Stegostoma tigrinum: one gene and its partners. The protein of the gene in region 1 binds, or shares a complex with, the protein of each later gene. Links are inferred from orthologs where the notes say so. Each region holds a gene or a part of one and is shown in the gene's direction. Other genes may lie near its edges. The genes, in order: bud13, dhx16 and cwc27.

What was found.
Region 2: bud13 (region 1) and dhx16 share a complex: the UniProt entries of both Homo sapiens proteins name them as parts of the minor spliceosome. The link is inferred for Stegostoma tigrinum from reciprocal best matches to the Homo sapiens genes BUD13 and DHX16.
Region 3: bud13 (region 1) and cwc27 share a complex: the UniProt entries of both Homo sapiens proteins name them as parts of the activated spliceosome. The link is inferred for Stegostoma tigrinum from reciprocal best matches to the Homo sapiens genes BUD13 and CWC27.

The regions. Positions count from the first base shown.
Region 1 is NC_081385.1:598,523-606,392, reverse strand, and holds the start of bud13 (BUD13 homolog), read left to right. Parts: upstream 1-4,835; 5' UTR 4,836-4,962; coding exon 4,963-5,069; intron 5,070-5,128; exon of another isoform or gene 5,129-5,585; intron 5,586-6,062; exon of another isoform or gene 6,063-6,063; coding exon 6,064-6,169; intron 6,170-7,496; exon of another isoform or gene 7,497-7,509; coding exon 7,510-7,594; intron 7,595-7,870. UniProt on the Homo sapiens protein: Involved in pre-mRNA splicing as component of the activated spliceosome. As a component of the minor spliceosome, involved in the splicing of U12-type introns in pre-mRNAs.
Region 2 is NC_081387.1:14,336,034-14,342,981, reverse strand, and holds the start of dhx16 (pre-mRNA-splicing factor ATP-dependent RNA helicase DHX16), read left to right. Parts: upstream 1-3,909; 5' UTR 3,910-4,052; intron 4,053-5,505; exon of another isoform or gene 5,506-5,526; 5' UTR 5,527-5,536; coding exon 5,537-5,734; intron 5,735-6,948. UniProt on the Homo sapiens protein: Required for pre-mRNA splicing as a component of the spliceosome. Contributes to pre-mRNA splicing after spliceosome formation and prior to the first transesterification reaction.
Region 3 is NC_081354.1:118,668,533-118,676,185, reverse strand, and holds the start of cwc27 (spliceosome-associated protein CWC27 homolog), read left to right. Parts: upstream 1-4,582; 5' UTR 4,583-4,971; coding exon 4,972-5,013; intron 5,014-5,037; coding exon of another isoform or gene 5,038-5,059; exon of another isoform or gene 5,060-5,277; intron 5,278-7,653. Other genes in the region: protein SREK1IP1, read right to left, coding at 5,038-5,059. UniProt on the Homo sapiens protein: As part of the spliceosome, plays a role in pre-mRNA splicing. Probable inactive PPIase with no peptidyl-prolyl cis-trans isomerase activity. As a component of the minor spliceosome, involved in the splicing of U12-type introns in pre-mRNAs.

The DNA.
Region 1 (7,870 bases):
AAGGGTGGTGGAGAGGGGGGGTTGAGGGGTGGTGGTGGAGGGGGGGGGTTGAGGGGTGGTGGAGAGGAGGGTTGAGGAGGGTTGGGGGGGTTGAGGGGTGGGGGAGAGGGGGGGTTGAGGGGTGTGGGTGGGGGTCAGGGTGATGGGCTGGATGGGGGTGGTGGGGGTGGGGATGTGAGGGGGGATGGGGGGGTGAGGGGTGGGGATGTGAGGGGTGAGGGGTGGGGATGTGAGGGGGGATGGGGATGTGAGGGGGGATGGGGATGTGAGGGGGGATGGGGGGGTGAGGGGTGGGGATGGGGGGGTGAGGGGTGGGGATGTGAGGGGTGAGGGGTGGGGATGTGAGGGGTGAGGGGTGGGGATGTGAGGGGTGGGGATGTGAGGGGTGAGGGGTGAGGGGTGGGGATGTGAGGGGTGGGGATGTGAGGGGGGGGGATGGGGATGTGAGGGGGGGGATGGGGATGTGAGGGGGGGTGAGGGGGGGTGAGGGGGGAGGGGGGGTGAGGGGGGATGGGGGGTGAGGGGTGGGGATGTGAGGGGGGGTGGGGATGTGAGGGGGGGTGGGGATGTGAGGGGGGATGGGGGGGTGAGGGGTGGGGATGTGAGGGGTGAGGGGTGGGGATGTGAGGGGTGAGGGGTGGGGATGTGAGGGGTGGGGATGTGAGGGGTGAGGGGTGGGGATGTGAGGGGTGGGGATGTGAGGGGTGAGGGGTGGGGATGTGAGGGGTGAGGGGTGGGGATGTGAGGGGTGAGGGGTGAGGGGTGGGGATGTGAGGGGTGAGGGGTGGGGATGTGAGGGGTGAGGGGTGAGGGGTGGGGGGGTGAGGGGTGAGGGGTGGGGGGGTGAGGGGTGAGGGGTGAGGGGTGGGGGGGTGAGGGGTGAGGGGTGGGGGGGTGAGGGGTGGGGATGTGAGGGGTGAGGGGTGGGGATGTGAGGGGGGATGTGAGGGGGGATGGGGGGGTGAGGGGTGGGGATGTGAGGGGGGGTGGGGATGTGAGGGGGGGTGGGGATGTGAGGGGGGATGGGGGGGTGAGGGGTGGGGATGTGAGGGGGGGTGGGGATGTGAGGGGGGGATGGGGGGGTGAGGGGTGGGGATGTGAGGGGTGAGGGGTGAGGGATGGGGATGTGAGGGGGGATGGGGATGTGAGGGGGGATGGGGATGTGAGGGGGGATGGGGGGGTGAGGGATGGGGGGGTGAGGGGTGGGGATGTGAGGGGGGGTGAGGGGTGGGGATGTGAGGGGGGGTGAGGGGTGGGGATGTGAGGGGGGGTGGGGATGTGAGGGGGGATGGGGATGTGAGGGGGGATGGGGGGATGGGGGGGTGAGGGGGGGTGGGGATGTGAGGGGGGATGGGGGGGTGAGGGGGGGTGGGGATGTGAGGGGGGATGGGGGGGTGAGGGGGGGTGGGGATGTGAGGGGGGATGAGGGGGTGAGGGGTGGGGATGTGAGGGGGGATGGGGGGGTGAGGGGTGGGGATGTGAGGGGGGGTGGGGATGTGAGGGGGGATGGGGATGTGAGGGGGGATGGGGGGATGGGGGGGTGAGGGGGGGTGGGGGGGTGAGGGGGGGTGGGGATGTGAGGGGGGATGGGGGGATGGGGGGGTGAGGGGGGGTGGGGATGTGAGGGGGGATGGGGAGGTGAGGGGGGGTGGGGATGTGAGGGGGGATGGGGGGGTGAGGGGGGATGGGGGGATGGGGGGGTGAGGGGGGATGGGGGGATGGGGGGGTGAGGGGGGATGGGGGGTGAGGGGGGATGGGGGGGTGAGGGGTGGGGATGTGTGGGGGGGTGAGGGGTGGGGATGGGGAGGTGAGGGGTGGGGATGGGGATGTGAGGGGGGGGTGGGGATGTGAGGGGGGATGGGGGGGTGAGGGGTGGGGATGTGAGGGGTGAGGGGTGGGGATGTGAGGGGTGAGGGGTGGGGATGTGAGGGGGGATGGGGGGGGTGAGGGGTGGGGATGCGAGGGGGGGTGGGGATGCGAGGGGGGGTGGGGATGCGAGGGGGGGTGGGGATGTGAGGGGGGGTGGGGATGTGAGGGGGGGTGGGGGGGTGGGGGGGTGAGGGGTGGGGATGTGAGGGGGGGTGGGGGGGTGAGGGGTGGGGATGTGAGGGGGGATGGGGGGGTGAGGGGTGGGGATGTGATGGGGGGTGGGGATGTGAGGGGGGATGGGGGGGTGAGGGGTGGGGATGTGAGGGGGGATGTGAGGGGGGATGGGGGGGTGAGGGGTGGGGATGTGAGAGGGGTGGGGATGTGAGGGGGGTGGGGATGTGAGGGGGGGTGGGGATGTGAGGGGGGTGGGGATGTGAGGGGGGGTGGGGATGTGAGGGGGGATGGGGGGGTGAGGGGTGGGGATGGGGGGGGTGAGGGGTGGGGATGGGGGGGGTGAGGGGTGGGGATGGGGGGGGTGAGGGGTGGGGATGTGGGGGGTGAGGGGTGGGGATGAGGGGGGTGGGGATGTGAGGGGGGGTGGGGATGTGAGGGGGGGTGGGGGGGTGAGGGGTGGGGGGGTGAGGGGTGGGGATGTGGGGGGTGAGGGGTGGGGATGTGAGGGGTGAGGGGTGGGGATGTGAGGGGTGAGGGGTGGGGATGTGAGGGGGGATGTGAGGGGTGAGGGGTGAGGGGTGAGGGGTGAGGGGTGGGGATGTGAGGGGTGAGGGGTGGGGATGTGAGGGGTGAGGGGTGGGGAAGTGAGGGGGGATGGGGGGGTGAGGGGTGGGGATGTGAGGGGGGGTGGGGATGTGAGGGGGGATGGGGGGGTGAGGTGTGGGGATGTGAGGGGGGATGGGGGGGTGAGGGGTGGGGATGTGAGGGGGGGTGGGGATGTGAGGGGTGGGGATGTGAGGGGGGGTGGGGATGTGAGGGGGGGTGGGGATGTGAGGGGGGATGGGGGGGTGAGGGGTGGGGATGTGAGGGGGGGTGGGGGGGTGAGGGGTGGGGATGTGAGGGGGGGTGGGGGGGTGAGGTGTGGGGATGTGAGTGGGGATGTGAGGGGGGATGGGGGGGTGAGGGGTGGGGATGTGAGGGGTGAGGGGTGGGGATGTGAGGGGTGAGGGGTGGGGATGTGAGGGGGGGTGAGGGGGGGGGATGGGGGGGTGAGGGGTGGGGATGGGGGGGTGAGGGGGGGGATGGGGGGGTCAGGGGTGGGGATGGGGGGGTCAGGGGTGGGGATGTGAGGGGGGGTGAGGGGGGATGGGGGGGTGAGGGGTGGGGATGGGGGGGTGAGGGGGGATGGGGGGGTGAGGGGTGGGGATGGGGGGGTGAGGGGGGATGGGGGGGTGAGGGGTGGGGATGGGGGGGTGAGGGGGGATGGGGGGGTGAGGGGTGGGGATGTGAGGGGGGGTGGGGATGTGAGGGGGGGTGGGATGTGAGGGGGAGGGGGGATGGGGGGGTGAGGGGTGGGGATGTGAGGGGGGATGGGGGCTGAGGGGTGGGGATGTGAGGGGTGGGGATGTGAGGGGTGGGGATGTGAGGGGGGATGGGGGGGTGAGGGGTGGGGATGTGGGGGTGAGGGGTGGGGATGTGAGGGGTGAGGGGTGGGGATGTGAGGGGGGATTGGGGGGGTGAGGGGTGGGGATGTGAGGGGGGGTGGGGATGTGAGGGGGGATGGGGGGGTGAGGGGTGGGGATTGAGGGGGATGGGGGGGTGAGGGGTGGGGATGTGAGGGGGGTGGGGATGTGAGGGGGGATGGGGGGGTGAGGGGGGATGGGGGGGTGAGGGGGGATGGGGGGGTGAGGGGTGGGGATGTGAGGGGGGGTGGGGATGTGAGGGGGGATGGGGGGGTGGGGATGTGAGGGGGGTGGGGATGTGAGGGGGGATGGGGGGATGGGGGGTGAGGGGTGGGGATGTGAGGGGTGAGGGGTGGGGATGTGAGGGGTGAGGGGTGGGGATGTGAGGGGGGAATGGGGGGTGAGGGGTGGGGATGTGAGGGGGGGTGGGGATGTGAGGGGGGGTGGGATGTGAGGGGGGGGTGGGGATGTGAGGGGGATGGGGATGTGAGGGGGATGGGGATGTGAGGGGGGATGGGGGGTGAGGGGGGATGGGGGGTGAGGGGGGATGGGGGGGTGAGGGGGGATGGGGATGTGAGGGGGGGTGGGGATGTGAGGGGGGATGGGGGGTCGAGGGGTGGGGATGTGAGGGTGGGATGTGAGGGTGAGGGGTGGGATGTGAGGGGGGATGGGGGGGTGAGGGTGGGATGTGCAGGGGTGAGGGGTGGGGATGTGAGGGGGGATGGGGGGGTGAGGGGTGGGGATGTGAGGGTGAGGGGTGGGGATGTGAGGGGTGAGGGGTGGGATGTGAGGGGAGGGGGGGAGTGGGAGGGGTGGGGGTGGGATGTGAGGGGTGAGGGGTGGGATGTGAGGGGGGATGGGGGGGTGAGGGGTGGGGATGTGAGGGGGGATGGGGGGGTGAGGGGTGGGGGGGTGAGGGGTGGGGATGTGAGGGGGGGGTGGGGATGTGAGGGGGGGTGGGGGGGTGAGGGGGTGAGGGGGGATGGGGGGGTGAGGGGTGGGGGGGTGAGGGGTGGGGATGTGAGGGGTGAGGGGTGGGGATGTGAGGGGTGAGGGGTGGGGATTGTGAGGGGGGATGGGGGGGTGAGGGGTGGGGATGTGAGGGGGGGTGGGGGTTTGAGGGGTGGGGATGTGAGGGGGGATGGGGGGTGAGGGGTGGGGATGTGAGGGGGGGTGGGGATGTGAGGGGGGGTGGGGGTTTGAGGGGTGATGGGCTGGATGTGGGGGGGGATGGGGGGGGGTGACCATCCTGTCCGCGAGACATCGGCTTGAGGCACCAAGATGGCGGCGCGAGGCGGGCGGGTTTCCCGCCGGGGGCCGGGGGCCGGGGGCCGGGGGCCGGGCCGGTCGAGCGGGGCCGGTGAGTGAAGACCGCTCGGTGCCGGCGGAAGCAGCGCCAGCGGAGTCCGGGTAGGAAGGAGCCGGGCCGGTAGCGCCGGGAGAGGGAGGGGATCCCATGGCCGGCCTGAGTAAGGAGGAATACCTGAAGCGGTACCTGAGCGGCTCGGAGCCGGGCCCCAAGCGGACCAGGAGGAGGCGGAGGGTGAAGATTAAAGGCGGAGGGTGAGGCCCGCGCAGGGAGCAGCGTAAGCGGCCAGCCCGACGTGGAAAGGCCTGAGGCCTGATGGTTTCCTGCGGGTGAGGCCGCCCTCCCGCACGCCTCAGGCGGCAGGAGCCGGGTCTGAACCTCATTCGCACCAAACACCAAACTATCAGTAAAATTATCACCGGATCACCCGGGACCTCGTTATAGCCGAGCTCCTGATAGGCGCTAGAGAAATTCATAATTCAACACTTTGCTGTGGCCTCATCGTTGTAGAATTACATTGTAGCTTTGGAGTAATTCCGTTGTCGTGTTTTAAGTTAGTTTTCACAAGGGAACGGTTTCTTGCTTTTAATGGGCAGTTGTTCATTATGTGACAGAGTTAAATATTGTTCACTTTTTCTTGAGGTTTATTAATAACATGCCTCACAGAAAGAGGCCATTCGCCCATTGCCCCAGTGCTGGATCTTTAAAGAAGTTATCCCGTCACCTCTCTCCTCAATGTTGTAATGTTTAACCTCGATCTGTTTTATAAAGTAAGTTTCACCTGTGGTAATGGCTATAATTTGTGTTAACAAGGTGTGGAGCTGGATGAACACAACAAGCCAAGCAGCATCAGAGGGGCAGGGAGGCTGAGGGAGGCCTAGGCCTGAAACATCACCTTTCCTGCTCCTCTGATACAGTTCCTTCTCTCTTAGTGTAATTTGTGTTCCTCTGGTTTCTGGATCTCTTGCCACTAGAAGCTTTCTCGTTATTTACTGCTCTATCTAAACACCCCTTTACCATCCTTACTCTTAGAGTGGAGGACCCCAGTGTCCTCAGCCTCTTCGTGCAATTGAAATTTCTTATCCACGATGCAGTTCTCCAATGCCCTCTCATTTTTGTAATCTGTGGTGTTGTCAGCTTTCCCTTTTTATCATGTGAAGTGTTACTTTACTCTGTATCTGTTTTAGATCAGGGATGCTGTTGAGTCTAGTTCTGTCAGTTGAAAGCCTCTGTCCTGTTATATTACAGAATGCGGATTGTGGATGATGATGTGACCTGGAAGACCCTTGCGAAGGAGAAGGAGAAAGAGGCTGTATTAGAGGCAGCAGAGGATGAGGATGATGAAGCCCCTGTGGTAGGTGAAATAGCTATTCTCAGGACTGACTGATTCTAAGATTTGTCAGCAAATAACTAATTAAGACTTCAACACTGTGACTACTGTTACTGCTGCTGAAGATACCCCAGTATCAACAAGACATTTTAATTGAACTGCCAAAACCCCACAAGAAGGTTGTTAAGTGATTTGGAAAGGAGAAAATTCAGAGCTAGAGAAGGTTTCCAGCCCATCTGACCAGTCTCTAAAGCTAATCCCAGTCTTCCTAATGCTTGTTGAACATTCGCTTATAAACAAATCGATAAGTTCCACATGAGAGCAGAAGAGTCAGAAGTGATGGGAGAATTTCTTTTAGTGCAGAAAGTTGTTCTAGTTTCAACTGGGTGGTGGAAACAGATTTAAAAGTAACTTTTCATTGGGAATTTCATAAATACTCAAAGTGGAAGGTTTTACAGGATGATGAGGGAAAGAACAAGGATGTGGGACAAATTAGCTAAGTTTTTAATACACCCAATACGGGTAAAAGGAGATAAATCCTCCTACCTGTACTCTAAGATTCTGTGAGAGACTGCTGTGGAAAGTGTCTTGCTGTGTATTTGGAAATGACTGACCTTATGGCTGAGTTTGAATGCTTTGTCCAGAGTGTGTTCATTAGGGACAATGTAGCGGGAGCATCACTCTGTTTCTAATTCCATTCCGTACCTATCCTGGGGTTTTTTGGTAGGTACAGTGAAGAGGGAGCCTTAGTCTCTGAACTTGCCCATATACAGTTCAATGTGATAGATGAGGGGCGGCACGGTGGCTCAGTGTAAGCATTGCAGCCTCACAGCGCCAGGGACCCGGGTTCGATTCCAGCCTCGAGCGACTGTCTGTATGGAGTTTGCGCATTCTCCCCGTGTCTGTGTGGGTTTCCTCTGGGTGCTCCGGTTTTCTCCCACAGTCCAAAGATTTTCAGGTTAGGTGGATTGGCCATGCTAAATTGCCCGTAATGTTCAGGGGTGTGTGGGTTATAGGGGGATGGGTCTGGGTGGGATGCTGCAAGGGGCTGTGTGGACTTGTTGGGCCAAAGGGCCTGTTTCCAGACTGTAGGGAATCTAATCTAATCATGACAGTGAATATTTAAAATGATCATTGTTTATATTCACTACATCATGCTGTACTTTAAACTGCTTGGGTCCAAACTTCGTACCTAATTTTTATGATGAGGCTTTTGGTCAATTGACCTAATGTCTTGTGTCAGGGTTTATTTGATCACCATTCCTGAGAATGATTTAGGGCTGTTTTACTCTATGACAAGGCTATGTAAATGCAGATTGTTGTTGTATTATACTTTTGTGTTGATCTCCAGCCTGTTGCTTTAGGTGGCAGAGTTCATTGATGAAAGGCCTGAAATCATTCAACAAATGGAGGAATTCCGCCTGAGCAATAAGTGGAAAATTTTAGGAGGTAAGTCGTGAGGCGTCTTTTTTAAAAAGACTCATTTCATTCTGTGCAGTGAATTTGTGTTGGCCGCTGTGTTATAAATACATTAATTGGATGCAAGCATCATTGGCTGGGCTAGCATTGTCGTTCATCTGAAGTTTCCCTGACAAGCTGGTAGTGAGCTGCCCCTTTGAATTGCTGAAGTGGCTTGACATATTTACTGTCTCACTGGGCTACTTTAAAAGGCAGTTCAGGTTTAATACAGCACTGGTTGCTGAATAGTGCTTAGGAACGGGAACC
Region 2 (6,948 bases), on another chromosome or scaffold:
ACACACACAGACTCCTTTTCTCTCTCACACACACACATTCCTTTTCTCTCTCTCACACACACACTCCTTTTCTCTCTCTCTCACACACACACACTCCTTTTCTCTCTCACTCACAGACTCCTTTTCTCTCTCACACACACACACTCTTTTTCTCTCTCACACACACAGACTCCTTTTCTCTCTCACACACACACTCCTTTTCTCTCTCACTCACAGACTCCTTTTCTCTCTCACACACACAGGCTCCTTTTCTCTCTCACACACACACACTGCTTTCCTCTCTCACACACACAGACTCCTTTTCTCTCTCACACACACACAGACTCCTTTTCTCTCTCACACACACACACTCTTTTTCTCTCTCACACACACAGACTCCTTTTCTCTCTCACACACACACTCCTTTTCTCTCTCACTCACAGACTCCTTTTCTCTCTCACACACACAGACTGCTTTTCTCTCTCACACACACACACACACTCCTTTTCTCTCTCACACACACAGACTCCTTTTCTCTCTCACACACACACAGACTCCTTTTCTCTCTCACACACACACACACTCCTTTTCTCTCTCACACACACACAGACTCCTTTTCTCTCTCACAGACAGACACAGACTCCTTTTCTCTCACACACATACACAGACTCCTTTTCTCTCTCTCACACACACACACACTCCTTTTCTCTCTCACACACACACACAGACTCCTTTTCTCTCATACACACACACTCCTTTTCTCTCTCACTCACAGACTCCTTTTCTCTCACACACACACAGACTCCTTTTCTCTCTCACACACACACACTCCTTTTCTCTCTCACTCACAGACTCCTTTTCTCTCTCACACACAGACTCCTTTTCTCTCACACACACACACTCCTTTTCTCTCTCACACACACAGACTCCTTTTCTCTCTCACACACACACAGACTCCTTTTCTCTCTCACACACACACAGACTCCTTTTCTCTCACACACACAGACTCCTTTTCTCTCTCACACACACACACTCCTTTTCTCTCTCACACACATACAGACTCCATTTCTCTCACACACAGACTCCTTTTCTCTCTCACACACACACACACTCCTTTTCTCTCTCTCACACACACAGACTCCTTTTCTCTCTCACACACACACACTCCTTTTCTCTCTCACACACACGCACTCTTTTTCTCTCTCACACACACAGACTCCTTTTCTCTCTCACACACACACAGGCTCCTTTTCTCTCTCACACACACACAGACTCCTTTTCTCTCATACACACACACAGACTCCTTTTCTCTCTCACACACACACTCATTTTCTCTCTCACTCACAGACTCCTTTTCTCTCTCACACACAGACTCCTTTTCTCTCTCACACACACACACTCCTTTTCTCTCACACACACACACACTCCTTTTCTCTCTCACACACACAGACTCCTTTTCTCTCTCACACACACACACAGACTCCTTTTCTCTCTCACACACACACACAGGCTCCTTTTCTCTCACACACACACACGCTCTTGCACATACACAGACACGGATACACATGTGAATTATTTCATCCAAGATATTTGTGAAGTTGCAAATATTCCAAGCCTCCGATCTGCTTTTGGACACACACTATTTACCCTGCTAGTCCAATAATACAGTTCCTGCTCAGTGGTAACCCCTAGGATGTTAACAGTGAATCAATGATGGTGATGCTATTGAAATGTCAAAGCGATATGAGGATTCATTCTGAGATAATGGGGAACTGCAGATGCTGGGACAATCCAAGATAACAAAGTGTGAAGTTGGATGAACACAGCACCTCAGGAGCACAAAAGCTGACGTTTCGGGCCTAGGCCCTTCATCAGAGAGGGGGATGAGGAGAGGGTTCTGGAATAAATAGGGAGAGAGGGGGAGGCGGACCGAAGATGGAGAGAAAAGAAGATAGGTGGAGAGGAGAATGTAGGTGGGGAGGTAGGGAGGGGATAGGTCAGTCCAGGGAAGACGGACAGGTCAAGGAGGTGGGATGAGGTTGGTAGGTGGGAAATGGAGGTGCAGCTTGAGGTGGGAGGAGGAGATAGGTGAGAGGAAGGACAGAGGTTAGGGAGGCGGGGATGAGCTGGGGTGGTTTTGGGATGCAGTGGGGGAAAGGGAGATTTTGAAGCTTGTGAATTCCACATTGATACCATTGGGCTGCAGGGTTCCCGAGCCGAATATGAGTTGCTGTTCCTGCAACCTTCGGGTGGCATCATTGTGGCACTGCAGGAGGCCCAGGATGGACATGTCGTCTGAGGAATGGGAGGGGGAGTGGAAATGGTTTGCGACTGGGAGGTGCAGTTGTTTATTGCGAACCGAGCGGAGGTGTTCTGCAAAGCAGTCCCCAAGCCTCCACTTGGTTTCCCCAATCCGACCCCAGCACCCAAGACATTTTTTCATCCCCAGCCTTGTCTGCTTTCCAGAGAGACCACTGTCTCCGCGACTCCCTTGTCCGCTCCACACTCCCCTCCAACCCCACCACACCCGGCACCTTGCCCTACAACCGCAGGAAATGCTACACTTGCTCCCAAACCTCCTCCCTCACCCCCATCCCAGGCCCCAAGATGACTTTCCATATTAAGCAGAGGTTCACCTGCACATCTGCCAATGTGGTATACTGCATCCACTGTACCCAGTGTAGCTTCCTCTACATTGGGGAAACCAAGCGGAGGCTTGGGGACCGCTTTGCAGAACACCTCCGCACAGTTCGCAATAAACAACTGCACCTCCCAGTCGTAAACCATTTCCACTCCCCCTCCCATTCTTTAGATGACATGTCCATCATGGGCCTCCTGCACTGCCACAATGATGCCACCCGAAGGTTACAGGAACAGCAACTCATATTCCGCTTGGGAACCCTGCAGCCCAATGGTGTCAATGTGGACTTCACCAGTTTCAAAATCTCCCCTTCCCCTACTGCATCCCTAAACCAGCCCAGTTCGTCCCCTCCCCCCACTGCACCACACAACCAGCCCAGCTCTTCCCCCCCACCCACTGCATCCCAAAACCAGTCCAACCTGTCTCTGCCTCCCTAACCGGTTCTTCCTCTCACCCATCCCTTCCTCCCACCCCAAGCCACACCCCCAGCTACCTACTAACCTCATCCCACCTCCTTGACCTGTCCGTCTTCCCTGGACTGACCTATCCCCTCCCCACCTCCCCACCTATACTCTCTCCACCTATCTTCTTTACTCTCCATCTTCGGTCCGCCTCCCCCTCTCTCCCTATTTATTCTAGTTCCCTCTCCCCATCCCCCTCTCTGATGAAGGGTCTAGGCCCGAAACGTCAGCTTTTGTGCTCCTGAGATGCTGCTGGGCCCGCTGTGTTCATCCAGCCCCACATTAAGCGATATGAGGATTCCATCTTGTTGGAGATGGTCATTTCCGACCCGTTGTGTATATTTCTATACGTAGGCGGCGCTGTGAGTGGAGTCTCCCATGGCTTTCCCCTCCCGGACAGAGGCGGCGCTGTGACGGACGTCTCCCCCGAGTCCCCTCCCGGACAGAGGCAGCGCTGTGACCGGAGTCTCCACCGAGTCCCCTCCCGGACAGAGGCGGCGCTGCGACCGGAGTCTCCCCCGAGTCCCCTCCCGGACAGAGGCGGCGCTGCGACCGGAGTCTCCCCCGAGTCCCCTCCCGGACAGAGGCGGCGCTATAGCTGGAGTCTCTCCCGAGTCCCCTCCCGGACAGAAGCAGCGCTGTGACGCGTGTCTCCCCCGAGTCCCATCCCGGTCAGAGGCGGCGCTGTGACCGGAGTGTCCCCTCCCGGACAGAGGCGGCGCTGCGACCGGAGTCTCCCCCGAGTACCCTCCCGGACAGAGGCGGCGCTGTGACCGGAGTCTCCCCCGAGTCCCCTCCCGGACAGAGGCGGCGCTGTGACTGGAGTTTGTGACGCTCTGCCTCACCGCGCTCGCAGTGGCCGGGAGCAGGAGACTGAGGGGTGTGTGCGGGCTGTTGTCAGGATCAGGTCCTGGTTGGGCCGTCGGGGCAAGGGCCTGGTTGGTCCGGGTGGAGCCTGTTGTTCTGAGAAGGTGAGTGCGGCTTGGGATTGTGCATCTGGTCGCAAACTGAAACAAGCAAATTTACTCTGAACCTCGTTAGTTTTGGGTCTCCATTATCGAAGGTCCCCATGAAACAAGCCCCCCCCCCCCCCCCGGTCCCCATGAAACAGGCCCCCCCGGTGTCCCCCCCCCCCCGGTGTCCCCCCCCCCCGGTGGTCCCCCCCCACCCGGTCCCCCCCCCCACCCCCCCCCGGTCCCCCGGTGTCCCCCCCCCCCCGGTCCCCGGTGCCCCCCCCCCCGGTCCCCCGGTGCCCCCCCCCCCCGGTCCCCCGGTGTCTCCCCCCCCCCCCCGGTGTCCCCCCCCCCCCGGTGTCCCCCCGTCCCCCCGGTGTCCCCCCCCCCCCCCCCGGTGTCCCCCCCCCCCCCCCCGTGTCCCCCCCCCCCCCCCGGTGTCCCCCCCCCCCCCCGGTGCCCCCCCCCCCCCCCCCCGTGTCCCCCCCCCCCCCCCGGTGTCCCCCCCCCCCCCGGTGCCCCCCCCCCGTCCCCCGGTGTCCCCCCCCCGTCCCCCGGTGTCCCCGTCCCCCGTCCCCCCCCCCCCCCGTCCCCCGGTGTCCCCCCCCCCCCCCCCGTCCCCCGGTGTCCCCCCCCCCCCCCGTCCCCCGGTGTCCCCCCCCCCCCCCCCGTCCCCCGGTGTCCCCCCCCCCCCCCCCGTCCCCCGGTGTCCCCCCCCCCCCCCGTCCCCCGGTGTCCCCCCCCCCGTCCCCCGTCCCCCCCGTCCCCCCCGTCCCCCGTCCCCCCCCCCCGTCCCCCCCCCCCCCCCCCGTCCCCCCCCCCCCCCCGTCCCGTCCCCCGTCCCCCCGTCCCCCTCCCCCCCCCCCCCCCGTCCCCCTCCCCCGGTGTCCCCCCCCCCGTCCCCCGTCGTCCCCCGTCCCCCGTCGTCCCCCCCCCCGTCCCCCGGTGTGTCCCCCCGGGTCCCCCGGTGTCCTCCCCCCCCCCGGGTTCCCCGGTGCGCCCCCCGGTCCCGCCCCCCCCCCGGTCCCGCCCCCCCCCCCCGGTCCCGCCCCCCCCCCCCCCCCCCCCCCCCCGGTCCCCCCCGGTCCCCATGACACAGCCCCCTTCACCCCTGGTCCCCATTAACATTGTCGCCCTTTTACCCCGAGTCCCGATTAACCAGGTTCACACTTTACCCGGGTCTCCATTGACCCCTCATCTCCATTAACCCCTCATCTCCATTAACGAGCTTCTCATCTACCCAAGGTTCCCCATTAACTGGGCTCCCCAGTCATCCAAACTGCCATTAATAGGGCTCCCCAATTACTCCTGGTCTACATTAGGCAGATTTCTGTTAACCCCGCGTCCAAAGTAGCCCAGAGACATCACTCAAACCCCAGGGTCTGCTCCAACTGTACTCGCCCTATCCGTTTGCCCACTGATTTGGCCCTCCCCAATTCCTGACGGGATTTTTGTGTTATTTTTGAAAAAGCGTACCGCTCGCTGTTTGCAGAGATACCACCATGACCTCGCTGGAGAAGTGGGTGAATGACCAGCTTCACCAGCTGCTGGGGCTGAGTGATAAGTATGTGGCACAGTTCCTGATTGGCACTGCCCAGCGCAGCGAGAGCGTGGCAAACTTCATCCGGCGCCTGGAGGAGACGGGAACCATTGACATCACACAGGGAGTCCGACGCTTTGCAGATGAGCTCTGGGCGAAGGTGGGTGCTGTGTGGGGCACGGTGGGAGGATGGTGCTGGCGAGTAGCAGATACTGTGACTGGACAGGCTGGTTGGAGTTCAAGACTAGGTTGTGGCATGTGCAGGGTGATGGGAGTTGCAGGCCGCTGGGCCCCCCCCGGTTAGGCTTGTCATCCTTCGCACCTTGCTGTGCTCCTAGGCTGCACCCCCTCCCTCGGTCAGTGTTTGGTGAACAGTGCCTTTTGCAGGATCATGTGTTCTGTTTTATCAATTCATTGCTGAGCTGAAATTTTCAGCATTAATTTATGGAACGTGGATGTCACCCAAGGCTTAGATCAGCACTTGCTACCCATCCCTAATTTCCTGAAGCTTATGCTAGGCCACATCCTTGAACCACTGCAATCCGTATGACATAGGAACAGCCACCGTGCTGTCATGGACAGAGTTCCAGGGTTCTTAACCAAGAGTCATAGAGTCATACATCATGCAAATAGGCCCAACTCATCCATTCTGACCAGGTTTCCCAAACCAAACTAAGCCAGTCCCATTTTCCTGCATTTGGCTCATATCCCTGTAAACCCTTCTGATCCATGTACTGCCCAAATGTCCTTTAAATTGTAAATGTACTGACTTCTACCACATCCTGTGGCGGTTCATTCTGTACACACACCATCCTCTGGATAAAAGAGAATGCACCTTGGGTCTCTTTTAAATCTTTCCCCTCTCACCTTAAACGTATGCCCTCTAGTTTTGCGCACCCCTACCCTGGGAAAAAGACCTTGCCTATTCACCCTATCTGTGGCCCTTATGATTTTAACAACTTCTGTAAGGTCACCAATCAGCCTCCACGCTCCAGGGAAAATAGCCCCAACCTATCCAGCCTCTCTTTATAACTCAAACCTTCCGGTTTTCTGCACTATTTCAAGTTTAATAGCACCCATCCTACAGCAGGGTGACTAGAATTGCATGCAGTGGCCTTGCCAATATCTCTTACAGCCACAACATGACCTGCCCGTTCCTGCAGTCACTGCTCTGACTGATGAAGGCAAGCGTGCCAATTACCACCTTCACCACCCTGTCTACCCGTGAGCCAACTTTCAAGGAACTATGTACCTGCATCCCCGAAGTCTCTCTCTGTTCTACAGCACTCACCAGAGCCCAGCCGTTAACTGTAAGTCCTGCCCTAGTTGGTCTTATGCAAAATGCACCTCACATTTATCAAAATTAAACTCCAT
Region 3 (7,653 bases), on another chromosome or scaffold:
AAATGGCCAATTACCAGTCCCTGTTCATATTAAAAATAATAAAGACAGGAGGGACTATTTAAGTAAAGATTACAGAACTCTTAATGATTGATCATCGACTGAATGAATCAAGAAAAGATAAACTATTACACACAAAAATAACTCTGTTTGAAATAAACTGATAAGGAACAAAGACAAGCTGTAACACAGACTCAAAGAATTAGCAAGATTCCATAAACAAAGCTGCTTTGACACCTGCTTGATAATTGGATGCTTTACTGGCATAAGGGACAAGGTTTGCCCTGTTCAAGAATTTAAGGAGTTAATCACCAGAAAGCTGTCTTTGAACCGACAGTCATTGCCAAATGTAACAAGAAACAAAGAAATTACTTTTGATAACGAAGCCAGCTGCAGTCTTACACTAACTCGCTTGAAAGACTCTCAAAGCATTATCCACATAAAGGATGAAAATCTGTACAAGAATCGAATGTGAAAAACTCAACAGCAGAACTCTGAAGAACAACACCGCAGAAGGACAGAAACCTGGAAACTTCCAGAGACAGATCACAATTGGTTGATGTCCTGGCCTGATTTCACCACTAATTGGGTCACAGGCCTAAAACTTACTTACCCGAGGGGTCTAATATTTACAATAAAGTTTGAACTGTTTTTTCAGTACTTGATTGTCTGTGAGATTTCTTAATAAGTAGCCAGATTTTCCCACAACAGATTCTTGATCAGTAGGGGAAACCAAGGGTTATAGGGAAAAGACAGGGTGTTAGGAGTGTTGGATTAACCACAGTCCCATTAAATGGTAGAGAAGGCTCACTGGACTGAACAGCCTGTTCCTGTTCCTATTTCTTATAGTTCCAGATCTGAGGGACATAGACTTCAAGCCTATCAGATGATGAAATTTGAATTTAGTTAATGAATCTGGAATTAAAAGCTGGTTTAATGGTGACCATGGAACCATTGCCAATTTTCATTAAACCCATCTGGTTTACTGACTCCCTTAAGCGACAGGGAATCTGCAGTTCTTACCTTGTTTATTCGAAATGCAACTTCATTTCCACACCAATGCTAACTCTCAATGCGCTCTGAAATGTCCCAGCAAGCTGCTCAATATCTAACTGTTACAACGTCTGATGAAACAGGAAGAAGGAAGCTTACTTAAAGTTGAGGAAGCAAGGATCGGATAGGGCTTTAGAGGTCTACAAGGTAGCCAGGAAGGAACTGAAGAATGGACTTAGGACAGCTAGGAGGGGGTATGAGAAATCGTCAGTGGGTAGGATCAAGGAAAATCCCAAGGCTTCTATACTTACGTGAGGAACAAGATGGCTAGAGTGAGGGTAGGGCCAATCAGGGATAGCAGAGGGAACTTGTGCACGGAGTCAGAGGAGGTCGGGGAGGTCCTTAATAAATACTTTACTTCAGTATTGACCACTGAGAGGGAACTTCATGCTTGCGAGGACAGCATGAAACAGGCAGATATGCTTGAACAGGTTGATGTTAGGAGGGAGGATATGCTAAAAATTGTGAAAAACATGAGGACAGATAAGTCCCCTAGGCCAGACAGGATATAGCCAAGATTCCTACAGAAAGTGAGGGAGGAGATAGCTGCCCCAATGGCAATGATCTTTGCGTCCTCACTGTCCACTGTATAGTACCAGAAGATTGGAGGTTGTCATTCCTTTGTTCAAGAAAGGGAATAGGGATAATCCTGGAAATTACAGACCTGTCAGTCTTTCTTCTGTGGTGGGCAAATTATTGGAAAGGATTCTGAGAGATAATATTTATGGTAATTTGGAAAAGCATAGTTTGATTTGAATTGGTCAGCATGGCTTTGTGAGGGGCAGGTCATGCCTCACAAGTCTTATTGAATTCTTTGACAATGTGACAAAAGACATCAATGAAGGTACAGCAGTGGATGTGGTGCATATGGATTTTATAGCAAGACATTTGATAAGGTTCCATATGGTCGGCTCATTCAGAAAGTAAGGAGGCATGGGATTCAGGGAAATTTGGCTGTCTGGATACAAAACTAGCTCTCCAACAGAAGACAGAGGGTGGTATTGATGGAGAGTATTTAACCTGGAGCTCGGTGACCAGTGTTGTTCCGCAGGAATCTGTTCTAGGACCTCTGTTCTTTCTGATCTTTATAAGCAACTTGGGTGAAGAAGCGGGAGGAAGGGTTAGTAAGTTTGCCGATGACACAAAGGTTGGTGGAGTTGTGGACAGGGTGGAAGGCCATTGTAGGTTGCAACGGGACAGTGACAGGATGCAGAGCTGGGCAATGAAGTGGCAGATGGAACTCAACCCAGAAAAGTGAAAAGTGATTTATTTTGGAAAATTGAATTTGAATGCAGAATACAGATTGATGGCAGGGTTCCCGGCAGCGTGGAGGAACAAAGGGATCTTAGGGTTCACGTCCATAGATCCCTCAAAGTTGCTACACAAGTTCATTGCCGCAGAGTGCAGTGGAGGCCGGAACGTTGGATGCCTTCAAGGCAGAGATCGACAAATTCTTGATCTCAAAAGGAATCAAGAGCTACGGGGGGAGTGCAGGGAAGTGGTGTTGAAATGCCCATCAGCCATGATTTAAATGGCAGAGTGGACTTGATGGGCTGAATGGCCTTACTTCCACTCCTATGTCTTATGATCTTATGGACTTAAGTTGATAGGGTTGTAAAGCAGGCATATGGTGTGTTGGCTTTCATTGGCAGGGGAATTCAGTTTAAGAGCTGTGTGGTTATGTTGCAGCTCTACAAAACTTTGGTTAGACCTGGTCACCTCATTAGAGGAAAGATGTGGAAAATTTAGAAAGGGTGCATAGGAGATTTACCAGGATGCTGCCCGGGGTGGAGGACAGGTCTTATGAGGAAAGGTTGAGGGAGCTAGGGCTTTTTTCACTGGAGCAAAGAAAGATGAGCAGTGACTTGATAGAGATGTACAAGATGATGAAAAGCATAGATAGAGAGGATAGTCAGATTTTTTTCCCCCAGGGTGGAAATGACTATTATGAGGGGGCATAATTGTAAGGTGACCGGAGGAAGGTATAGTGGAGATGTCAGAGGTAGGTTCTTCACACAGAGTGGTGAGCGTATAGAATGCGTTTCCAGCAGTGGTAATGGAATCAAATACTTTAGAGACTTTTAAGCCACTCTTGGATAGGCACATGGAGGATAATGAAATGTAAGGTATGCAGGGTAAATTGATCGCAGGAGGATAATAGGGCAGCACAATATCGTGGGCCAAAGGGCCTGTACTGTGCAGTACTGTTCTATGTTCTATGAAAGGAATAGAACCAGACAGACCCACCTGGGATCAACAAAGGCACTAGAAACAACTGTCCTGCTCCTAAGATGCTGCTTGGCCTGCAGTGTTCATCCAGCTCCACACCTTGTTATCATGGCACACACAGCCTTGATGACACAACCAATATCTTAAAATTTGTGCTGACCTTCAGACCAAATCAACCAATCCAGAGTGACACTGTCTGTAAGATATGATTACACAAGACAAATAAAGTCCCAATCACCACAATCACTATCCCTAGCAGTGTGCCGTCACGCTAAAACAACAGACCCATGAGAGGTGGCGATGCAGCGGTATACAGTGAGGAGGGATAATGGGAACTGCAGATGCTGGAGAATCCACGATAACAAAGTGTGGAGCTGGATGAACACAGCAGGCCAAGCAGCATCCGCTGGAGATGCTGCTTGGCCTGCTGCGTTCATACAGCTCCACCATACAATTTTAACCTCACTGCAAAGCCTCTTCCAGGGATGCCTAACCTGAAGAAGTTACCCTCCTCCCTCCGGATCAACCTCAGGGAATCTCTCTCCCACTGCAACTCTCTTGTAATCTACCTAGCTTCTTTTCTCCATCTTCGGTCCGCCTCCCCCTCTCTCCCTATTTGTTCCAGTTCCCTCTCCCCATCCCCCTCTCTGATGAAGGGTCTAGGCCCGAAACGTCAGCTTTTGTGCTCCTGAGATGCCGCTTGGCCTGCTGTGTTCATCCAGCTCCACACTTTGTTATCTTACAGTCAGGAGGGAGTTGCCTTTGGGGGTTCTCAAGGTTGACTGGAGATGCTATGATGCTTCGCTGCAAACATGGTTAAGGAAATCTTATCCATGGAGGGAGGGGGAATTGGTCTTGGAAAAGAAGTTGGATGACTCGCCATATATTTCTTGATAGTTGACCTGAATATCATTGAGATATGCAAAGAACTGCGAATACTAGAAGTCTAAAGCAAAAACAAACGAAGTGCGAAAGAAATACAGATCCGGCAGCATTTGAAAAGAAGGGGGAGTTAATGTTTCGAGTGTAGTGACCCTCGTTCACTTCCTGTTATGCGATCAGTGACATGCAGCACCTTCCAAACACGATTCCGAAGTCAGACCTATCACCAAAGTTTAAATAGTTCGCCGCTTTATACTCCCAAAATGTAATTTAAAAGCAATATCTACGCAAAAAAATCAAATCATTATAATTCACCTGAAAAAGCCATTGCGAAATTCCATTCGTTTCTACTTCTAGAAAGTTCCCAAGCACACTTGCTGATCTGGTGCACCGTTTAATATCTTCCCACCAGCTTCAATAACAAAATAAAAACATAAAGAAACGCTCGGTTTCAACTTTCAAAATCATACGCAGCATATCCATACTCTCCGTTACAGTTAATTTCTGTACTTGCGCGTCCATGACATGGGCCGTTTGCTTTCAGAGCGAACTTTGCGCGAACCCCCGGCGGATAACAGGCGAACATTCTAAAATACACGACATTTCGCAGGGACTTGGCGGCGGGGGAAGGCTCTCGGTGGAGCTGCGTAAGTGGATTATCTGCAGGCAGGGTTTTTGAGTTTAGGTTTTCTTAGTTTTGGTGCGGTGAGTGAGGGGCCGGCTGGCTTCTCGGGATCGGTGAACGGAGGACGTTAGACAGCGCGAGCGAGCGCCGCGTTTTAAACTGGGCTCGCGTTCCAAAGCGGCGCCATGAGCAACATTTACATCCAGGAGCCGCCGAGCAGCGGCAAGGTAAATAACACGTTTATCACAAACCTGTATACATTGGCGTCTTCATTCGAGGGAAGATTCGTGTACATTCATTCAGTAACCAAGCCCGTTGATCGATGGGGCTAATTTCTTCCAAACGCCATGTTCAAACAGTCCGGTATTCGCGCGCGTCTAATTTATGTCCTTTCGTTTAAACAAAACAGATCCACCCCTTCCGAAAGTGAGCGAGTAAATTTTCTTCTGGCCTTGATTTTTGTTTTGGATTTTTGTGGTTGTTTTACAACGTTCACATCAATTACCCCTGTACGTGTCATTTTGTTCCTTGAGCACTTGTGAAAGACTTACATTTACATAGCGCCTTTCGCCTTGTCCCAAAGCATTTGCTCAACAATGAAGTACTTTTGGAGTATCATCACTGTTGGAAAGTAGGAATTGTTGCCTGCTTTTCTGTTTCAAGTGATCATGAATAACCAGATCACCTGTTCTACTGACAAAAACAAAAATTGCTGGAGAAATTCCGAAAGCCTGGCAACATCTGTAAAGAGAGAAACAGGGCTGACGTTTTAAGACAGCGACACCTCTTCAGAATTGATAACATCTAGGAAAAAGTGAGTTTAGTAGCTTAACTGTTTTAGTGATATTGTTAGAGGGATAAGTAATGATCAGGATGATAGCAAGAATCCCTCTGATTTTCTTTTAAAAATTGTGCTGTGGGACTTTTCATATCTGTTAGAAGGAGTATCAGTTTAAAGTCTCATCCAAAAATTGATATCTCTCACAGTATAGTACCAACTGAAATGCCAGTGTAATTTTACTGCTCAGTTTATTAATGTCTGGTGTGGAATTATAACAATGGGGTGAGGTGACTGAAAGAGTGGGATGGTAATCATAAAGAGTTAGTTCAGAGCATATGACGACGCTGTGTTAACAACTGAGATAATCTCCATTCTAACTGATTTTCACAGGCCTACCTTTATTTGTGAGACATCTTGACTTTAAGGGGAGATGATGGCCTAGTGGTATTATCACTGGACTATTCACCCAGAGATCCAGGCTCAAATCCCATGATAGCAGATGGTGGAATTTAAATTCAGTAAAAGTTTGGGATTAATAATCTAATGATGACTATGAAATCATTGTTCGGATTGTTGGGAAAAAACCCATCTGGTTCACTGAAGTTCTTAGGGGAAAGAAATTTGCCATCCTTTCCCAGTCTGGCCAACAAGTGACTTCAGATCTGTGCTATTATGGTTGATTCTCAACAGCTCTCTGGGCAATTAGAAATGAGTAATAAATACTGGCCTGGCCAGTACACCTCAGGAAGGACATACTAGCCCTGGAGCGTGTCCAGCGGAGATTCACACGGATGATCCCAGGAATGGTAGGTTTAACATATGATGAACGGCTAAGGATCCTGGGATTGTACTCATTGGAGTTTAGAAGGTTGAGGGGAGACCTAATAGAAACTTACAAGATAATGTATGGTTTAGAAGGGGTGGACGCTAGGAAGTTGTTTCCATTAGGCAGGGAGACTAGGACCCGTGGGCACAGCCTTAAAATTAGAGGGGGTAAATTTAAAACTGAAATGAGACAACATTTCTTCAGCCAGAGAGTGGTGGGCTTGTGGAATTCATTGCCACAGAGTGCAGTGGAAGCCGGGACGTTGGATGCCTTCAAGGCAGAGATCGACAAATTCTTGATCTCAAAAGGAATCAAGGGCTACGGGGGGAGTGCAGGAAGTGGAGTTGAAATGCCCATCAGCCATGATTTAAATGGCGGAGTGGACCTGATGGGCCGAATGGCCTTACTTCCACTCCTATGTCTTATGGTCTTATGATATTCATGTCCCATGAAAGAAAAGTAAAACAAGGTATAGTGTCTTTAACAGCCGTTGCGTGCTTTGAAATGAACTGAACCCTCTCTAATGTGCAAAGATTTCTTGTGGAACTGAAGGTCTGGTCACAGAGAGAGAGAACCTTGCCTTATTGTCATATCAGAAATCTAACATGATTTAAAAACTTTGCTTAGCTTTTTTTTAAAATTCATTTGAGGGATGCAGGCATCCACTGCCTACCTGACATTTATTGCCTGTTCCTAGTAGCCCTTGAGAAGGTGGTGCTGAGCTGCTGCCTTAAACTGCTGCAGTCCACTTGTTATGGGTGGACCCACAATACCATTAGGGAGAGAATTCCAGGATTTTGACACAGTGAAGGAATGGCAATATATTTAAAATTCAGAATTGTGAGTGCCTTACAGGGGACTTTGAAGGTGGTTGTTTTACTATGTATCTGCTGCCCTTGCCTTTCAGATGGAAGTGCACATGGGTTTGAACGCTGCTGTCTGAGGATTTTTTTGATGAATTTCAACACTGCATCTTGCAGGTGGTGCACACTGCCACTGAGTGTTGGACGTGGAGGCAGTGGGATGCATGTGGATGTAGTGCCAATCAAATGGGCTGCTTTGTCCTGGATGGTGTCAAGTTTCTGAGTGCTTTTGGAGCTGTATGCATCCAGGCAAGTAGGGAATATTTCATTACTCTCCTGACTTGTGCTATGTAGATGACGGAGAAGGAAGTTACTTGCTGTCATATTCCTAGCCTCTGACCTGTTCTTCTTTATGTGGTGAGTACAGTTGAGTTTCTAGTCAATGGTAACCCCCAGG